Oryctolagus cuniculus: one gene and its partner. The protein of the gene in region 2 purifies or fractionates together with the protein of the main gene of each other region. This does not show direct contact. Links are inferred from orthologs where the notes say so. Each region holds a gene or a part of one and is shown on either strand. Other genes may lie near its edges. The genes, in order: MAVS and TRIM25.

Region 1 (3,806 bases), on a different chromosome or scaffold from region 2:
AGTGTGACTTGTGCTAAGAGCCGCTGAAGCAATGGCTTGTATTAGAAGCACTTTAAAAACTGTGAGCATGTGGGGCCAAGTGATGACTGTCAAAGTAAGCTCGCGGAGCCATTTGAAGGTGAGGAAGAATCTTGGAAGAGGTGCATGCTGGGTCCCGGGTCCCCCCACGAGCTCAGGGCGGTGGGGTGCAGTCTCCCTGGAAGCATGGGCACGCGGCACGCTACAGCCACGGCCCACAGTTGTGTTCCGGAAAGAACCTGGTGCTGAGGGTCCCGGCTCTTTGCTCTTCCACGTCCAGCAGCCCCTGGGCTTCTTGGTACCTCGTTTTCTCCATCTTTAAAGTTAGATGATCCTATTGCTATCAGATTGGCCTCCACCACCATCACCCCCAACCTACCCCAAAGAAGCAGTACTTCAAGATGGGGAGTTATTGCTATTGTTCTAAGGGCCTTAGAGCTGGGAGCAACTCACAGACTTGGGAGCCAGGGTCATGGACAGGGCCCCGTCCCCCATGTGCTGGGGGTACAGGCAGACCCCCTTCCATGTGCTAGGGGCACAGGCAGACCCCCTCCATGTGCTAGGGGCACAGGCTCCAGCACCGACCAAGCTACAGGACAGACATGGGCCCTGCATCACCTGCATCTCCTTTTGGTCTTCAGTTCATTGTTGAGCAAATTCTTTGAGAGCCCCTAGGATCCAGGCAATTAGGACATTTAAAGAAATTGAGGGGCCAGTGCTGTGGCGTAGCAGGTTAGGCCGCTGCCTGCAGTGCCAGCACCTCATATGGGCGCTGGTTCTAGTCCCGGCTGCTCCACTTCCAGTCTAGCTCTGTGCTATGACCTGGAAAAGCAGCAGAAGATGGCCCAAGTCCTTGGGGCCTTGCACCCACGTAGGAGACCCGGAAGAAGCTCCTGGCTCCTGGTTTCAGACTGGCCCAACTCTGGCCATTGAAGGCATTTGGGAAGTGAACCAGCGGATGGAAGACCTCTCTCTCTGTCTCTCCTCTCTCTGTGTAACTCTGACTTTCAAATAAATAAAAAAAAAGAAAGAAAGAAATTGAAGATGAAAGATAAAAGCAGAATTCCAGCAGGCTGAGCAGGAAAGAAATGCCTTTGCCCCGCCCCTCCCAGCCCCGTGGCCTTGCCTTCTGCTCTCTTCCAGTCTTCCCCGTCTCTCAGTCCATCGCGCTCGGCCATAGCGCTCGCCGAGTCCAGGGCCCCGTCTGCAGAACTTGAGCGGCGATGACGTTTGCTGAGGACAAGACCTACAAGTACATCTGCCACCACCACAGCAGCTTCTGCCGTGTGGATGTTCTAGAGATCCTGCCTTACCTGCCCTGCCTTACGGCAAATGACCAGGTGAGCCCAGCCCCCGCCGGTTCACCCCAGCCAGGGCCAGCTCCTTCCTTGCCCCTCGTGGACCAGGGGTCTTCAAAAAATTCCTAGGAAACGCATATTCGGAAACCGCCCACATGTGGATTCCAAACCTTCCTGCACCTACATACACTTGTCTTTCTGATGTTTCTGCAAACTTTTCCCAGGCCCTGTATGCCGCCTCTTGTCCCTGCTACTTGGCGCACTGTGTGGTGGGGTTGGCTTTGCCAGCCTCCCCGGCTCCCTCTTGTGTTTGATTTCGTGTAGTGCTTCGGCTGGCTCCGGTCCCACTGTTCTTCGGAGCCCTCTCTTCCCTTCCTCTAGTCCTTGTCCTGCCCAGATTTGATTCCATTCTCCTCGTCCCAGGACCCTGCCCCACGGGCCCCCATGGTTCCAACCGCACCCAGCACAGAGAAAAACGCCCCTCCCCATTTCAGCTGCTGTCTCCAATGGGAGCCCTGCGCTCTCTTTCGGGGTCTCCTGTCTTCAGGCGTCTCAGGGCTGATGGGGTTTGACCCCTTCCTCTTGTATGTTGCATCTTGAAGATCCCTTATCGCTTAGCAACCGTTTTCTGTGTTTTGCTTCTGTTTTGTGGCTTGTTTTCATTTTGCTCTGGGGGGGGTTTCTGGTCCCAGGGCTTTTGCAGGCAATACATTTTGCTTCTCATCAGCAAAGGAGAGCTAATTACAGGACACTCAGAGTCCACTTCCCGGCAGCTGCAGTTGGTCGTTGGCTATTGGCTGCTGCTCATGGCTCTTCCTCATTCTGTTCTAGGGCCCTGATCCTGGCTTTGTCCTGGGCCAGGGTCCAGTGTCCAATGGCTGCTCCCCACTGGGGTCTCTCGGTGCCCCTCTCTGCAGTTGTCACATGCTGGGTGAAGAGGCAGCCAGCGACAACTGGCTTGAGCACGACTCCGGGGCTGTGTCTTCCAGGATCGGCTGCGGGCCTCCTACACGCGCCTGGGCAACCGAGACACCCTCTGGGACCTGTTCAACAGCCTGCAGCGGCGGACCGGCTGGGTGGATTCCTTCATCCGGGGCCTGAGGGCCTGCGAGCTGCCGGAGCTCGCTGACCAAGTGGCTGGCGAATATCAGCGCCACCTGCCTCGTGAGCGTCCTGCCCTGGCCCCGAGACCCTGCCTGCTTCCTCTGCCTTCTCTACCCTCGCCTCTCCCTCCTTGGTACCTCCTGCCTTTGTCCTCACCCTCCCACCCGTCTCCTGCCATCTGTGGGTGAACCCGAGTGTGGAGCCTGGCTGAGCCTTGGGCTTTCCCTCTGTAAGATGGGGCTGATGGCAGTTTCTGCACTGGGCAGATTCTGCGGGACGGTGCGTGTCGAAGGGGCCGACTCCTCTGATTTGTCGGGCTGTGTTCTTTGCCTGCTGCCTGCTTCTGGCCTCCGGGTTCCTTCCTCTCCACACCCACGTGTCCGCCCTCCCTCTCTCCACTTTACTTCCCCTCCTCCTGCTCCCCCTGGAAGCCTTCTAGCCCTCACCCCAGGCTGCTCCGTTACCTCTCAGCTCCCTTCCGCTGCCCCTTCCTGGCCCTGGTGCTGGGGGCATTTGGCATGGTCAGGAGAGGAGAGGGCCTGGGGGAGGGAGGGAACCAGCCTTGTTCATACCAAGGGACTTCAGGAAGCTCGTGGAAAGAACAGTTTGAAAGACACGTTTATCTTGGTGCCCCCCCAAAAAAAATTAAATCCATGCAGTTTTTATAGCATGCATTTCTTTCTTCCTTCCTCCCTCCCTCCCTCCTTCCCTCCCTCTCTTTTCTTTTTTATTTTTTCTTTCCTTCCTTCTTTCTCTCTTTTGTTTTCTTTCTTTCTCTCTCTTTTTTCTTTTGAAAGGCAGAGTTACAGAGGGAAAGGGAGAGACAGAGAGAGAGAGAGATCTTCCATCTGCTGGTTCATTTCCCAAATGCCATCAATGGCCAGAGCAGGGCCAGACTGAAACCAGGAGCCAGGAGCTTCTTCCAGGTCTCCCATATGGGTTCAGGGGCCCAAGCACTGGGGCCATTCTCTGCTACCTTCCCAGGCGCATTAGCAGGGACCTGAATCAGAAGTGGAGCAGCAGCCAGGACTCGAACCAGTGGCCAGATGGGATGCAGTGACTTTACCCACTATGCCACAGTGCTGGCTCCCATAACATGCGTTTCTGTGAGGTTTTTTAATTAATTAATTTATTTATTTATTTTGCCAGGCGGAGTGGACAGTGAGAGAGAGAGACAGAGAGAAAGGTCTTCCTTTGCCGTTGGTTCACCCTCCAATGGCCGACGCGGCTGGCGCGCTGCGGCTGGCGCACCGCGCTGATCCGATGGCAGGAGCCAGGTACTTATCCTGGTCTCCCATGGGGTGCAGGGCCCAAGCACTTGGGCCATCCTCCACTGCACTCCCTGGCCACAGCAGAGAGCTGGCCTGGAAGAGGGGCAACTGGGAC
Region 2 (3,806 bases):
GCCATTGGAGGGTGAACCAACGGCAAAAAGAAGACCTTTCTCTCTGTCTCTCTCTCTCACTGTCCACTCTGCCTGTCAAAAAAATAAAAAAAGTAAAAATAAATAAATAAAATAAAAATTAAAAAGTAAAAAAAAAAAAAGAAACAAACAACAAGAAGACCCCGAATCAGTTGACCTGGAGTTCATCCAGAGGGGGATTTTTTCGGGTGAGCCAGACAATCAGGTAAAAGGAGGACCAGGCCTTCCTCGAGGGAGCAGCTCTCCTGCTAGCTTTGAGGAAGGAAGCTACCAAGCTGGGAGAGGCCTTGGCTGACAGCCAGCAAGGAGGGGGCGACCTCATTCCTTCAACCCTAAGGAAATGAATTCTACCAACAACGGCCACGCCATGTGCGCTCCAAAAGGAACGCAGCCCAGCCAGCCCCCAGATGCTGGCGTCGTGAGCTCCTGCGCAGACGGAGCCATGCCCATACTCCAGGGCCAGGGAGCCGCTGAGCAGCTCTAAGCCCTGGGGCTGCGGTACGTTCTTGAAGTCCTGTCGCAACCCAGCAAACTCAGAGATACTTCTGTTGACCTCTTGCAGCCCGACGGCACCAGGCCCCACCGTATCGCTAAGAGACCCGGCAGTCCCGGGCCCTGCCACCCACCTCCAGAAACTCAAACTCGTCCCCCTCCTTGAGGCCGTCCTCGATCTTCTCCTTCAGGGCCTGGATCTCGCTCTTCTTCTTGAGGAGCACCTGGTGAATGGTGTCCAACTTGCTGTGCACTCTCTTCTCCTCTTCCTTTATCTTTCGAGTCGAGCTGGCCTCCGAGGCATCGATGAGAGCCTTGATTTCCAGGTATTCTTGTCGCAGCTGCTCTATCTTCCTGTTTGTAGCCTCCTAAGAGGGCCGAGGCAAGAGAAGAACCGTGAGATGGGCAAAAAAAAAAAAAAAAAAATTGCTACAGCTGCCATCCCAAGGTGGGTGAGAGGCAGAGCACCAGAAACTCTGACTTGTGCCCTGTAGCAGTAGGAGCCAGCACAGCCACCCTGGGCAGCAACCAGGCAGTCTAGGAAATTCGGAGGCATTTGTGCCCAATGACTCGGTGGCTGCGATCCTAGGAAAGCACTCTGGGAAAATGCCCTGACACCTGCCTCAGCGACACACACAAGAATGTTCATAAGTGACACGCTTTGAAACAGCGAGAACCTGGGAACAACCCGGAAATCTGTCAGCAGAAGACTTGAGACAGAGCTGTTCACAGGACGGAAAGCCAAATGGTTATGAGGATTAATAAACTGGAGCCATGCAGGGATAAAGCTCCAAGAGAGAAAAACAACTTGAAGAAGACACAGACTTGGAGAAGCAGCTGTTTATGTAAAGCTGAGAAACAAACAGAAGGGCAGAATCGATTGCTACAGAATGCATACGTGTATGAGATAGCACGTAAAGAAATGCATGGAGCGGCTGAGTACTGAGCCTCGCAGCTGAAGTGCCAGTCAAGATGCCCGCATCCCACACCAGAGTGCCTGTGCTCCATTCCCAGCCCTTGAGACGTGGCTAGTCCAAATCAAGATGTGTTAGCAGAGGCCAGCGTTGTGGTGCAGCAGGTCAACCTGCAGCCTGAGACACAGACATCCATGTGGGCGCCGGTTCGAGTCCCAGCTCCCTGCTAATGCACCTGGGAAGGCAGCGGAAGATGGCCTGAGTGCTTAGGCACCTGGGCCTGTGGGAGACTGTGATGAATTTCTCAGCTCCTGGCTCCAGCCTGGCCCAGCCCTGGCCACTGTAGCTATTTGGGGAGTGAACCAGCAGATGACAGACCTCTCTGTCTCTCCCTCTCTCTGTCTGTAACTCTACCTCTCAAATAAATAAAAAATCTTTTTTAAAAAAATTCTCCCTTCCTATCTTTTCTCCTATACTCCCTGCAATGGATCCAATGCTGCCTTCCCTCCCTATCCCCCGACACCTGCCTCCCAGTAAAGGGTATTTGCAGATGTAATTAAATTGAGGATCTCAACATGAGATCACCCTGTATTATGCTGGTGGGCCCTAAATCTAAAGACAGGTGTTTTGTTTTTATTTGACAGGTGTTTGGAAACACAGAGGGGAAGGAGGGGGAGACTGGAGCCACACAGCCACAAAGCCATCAGCCTGAGGGGCTGGAGCTGGGAGAGGCAAAAATGGCCTCTCGGTCACAGCTGTCAGAGCAGTGTGACCCCACCCATGCTGCAACTGATCCCGCCCACGTTGTGATTTTGGACTTCCAGCCTCCAAAACCGGGAAAGAATGAGTTTCATTTGTTTCAGTCGCCAAGGTTGTGGCAATTTGTTACAGCGCCCCAGGAAACAACACTCTTTTTAGGGAAGATGCAACTCTAGTGGATATTGGCTTCCTGTTTTTCTCCCATTTCAGATCATAATCATTTCTTTATATTCCTACATTTTAGTTCTTTTTTTTTATGCTTATTTATTTGAAAGGCATAATAACACACAGAGAGGGAAAGAGAAAGAGAGCAAGCAAGCTTCCATCCACTGGTTTACTCCCCAAGTGCCTGCAACAGCCAAGGCTGGGCCAGGCTGACACCAGGAGCCCAGAACTCTGGGTCTTCCATGAGGACAGCAGGGACCCAAGCACTTCAGCCAATACCTGCTGCCTCCCAGGGTGCACACTAGCAGAAACTGGATCAGAAGCAGGGGAGCCGGGACTCGAACCAGCACTCTGACATGGGACGCGGGTATCCCAAGCAGTGGTTTAACCACTGTACCACAGCAGCCACCCCCAGCTCAAGTTCTGAAGGTTCCCCCACGGTTGGGCCTGTGGGTGGTTTTCAACTTGGGTTTGCAAAGGGTCTCTCCTGAGCACACAGTGCTTTTGCTTGCTCTGCAAGGCTGGTGCTGAATTCTGATGCTTGTGAGTGCACCCAACACCAGCCTTGTCAAGGTCAGGGCTGCCCCCATCCCGCCTGGTGGTGGACAAGGGCCTGGCCACTCACCTGCACACCCTGCTGCCTGGCTTGCACATCCTCTAGCGCTTTCGACGCCCCATTGATCTGACTGTACATGATGGTGAGTTTGTACCTCAGCTTGTTCTGCAGAGAAAACAAACAAGGGTGAGACAGCTCCTCGTCAGCCTCACCCCCAACACCAGGGGCCATCCCCTGAGTCCATCCCACAGGGGCTCGGCCACCCCGTGTCTCGCCTGTGTAGAGCTTTCTGAAGCAGTCCATCATCCTTTAGGGGGGCTGCACAGTAAGGAAGTTCAGAGAACCAGATGTGGGGTCAGACGGACCCAGCTCAAGTCCCAGTTTGCAGCTGTACAGCTCCCACCACCTCAGTTTCATTGGCCATAAAAGAGAAACAACTGCTCCCACCCCATAGGGCTATCAAGGAGGATTACCTGGAACAACACACCTGCCCATACCTGGGACTTCGCCAGGTAGGAAGTTAGAGATCAGCCCGTGTGTGTGTGTGTGTGTGTGTGTGTGTGGAGCCTAAAGTCAACAAAGCACCAGAGGAGGGAAGGGGGCAGCCTCCAGCAGCGTGGGTCTCCACACTGCAAAGTCCTGTCCATAGCCCTGAGAACTCTGCACGTGATCCCCGCCTGCCCTCCTGCCAGCGCCAAGTGGGCCGCCCTGCCTGATGACACTGGGGAATAAAACCCTGGGAGGAACTGTACCTATTTCACCCAGAAAACTCTTTCCAGGAGAAGATGGACGAGCGGAAGGAGACAGATGGGAAGAACTGGACCCCACTCCCTTACAAACCCCAGTCTTCATGTAAACTGGACATTCTCGGATTCCATCTGGAGAGGGGCCCATCCGCTCTG

Evidence for each region.
Region 1: the proteins of TRIM25 (region 2) and MAVS purify together in Homo sapiens (affinity purification with western blotting; 3 studies listed by BioGRID and IntAct, with this or other methods). This does not show direct contact. The link is inferred for Oryctolagus cuniculus from reciprocal best matches to the Homo sapiens genes TRIM25 and MAVS.

Annotation. Positions count from the first base shown.
Region 1 is NC_091442.1:29,181,323-29,185,128, forward strand, and holds part of MAVS (mitochondrial antiviral-signaling protein), read left to right. Parts: intron 1-1,161; 5' UTR 1,162-1,241; coding exon 1,242-1,358; intron 1,359-2,305; coding exon 2,306-2,480; intron 2,481-3,806.
Region 2 is NC_091448.1:32,516,338-32,520,143, forward strand, and holds part of TRIM25 (E3 ubiquitin/ISG15 ligase TRIM25), read right to left. Parts: intron 3,070-3,806; coding exon 2,974-3,069; intron 879-2,973; coding exon 645-878; intron 1-644.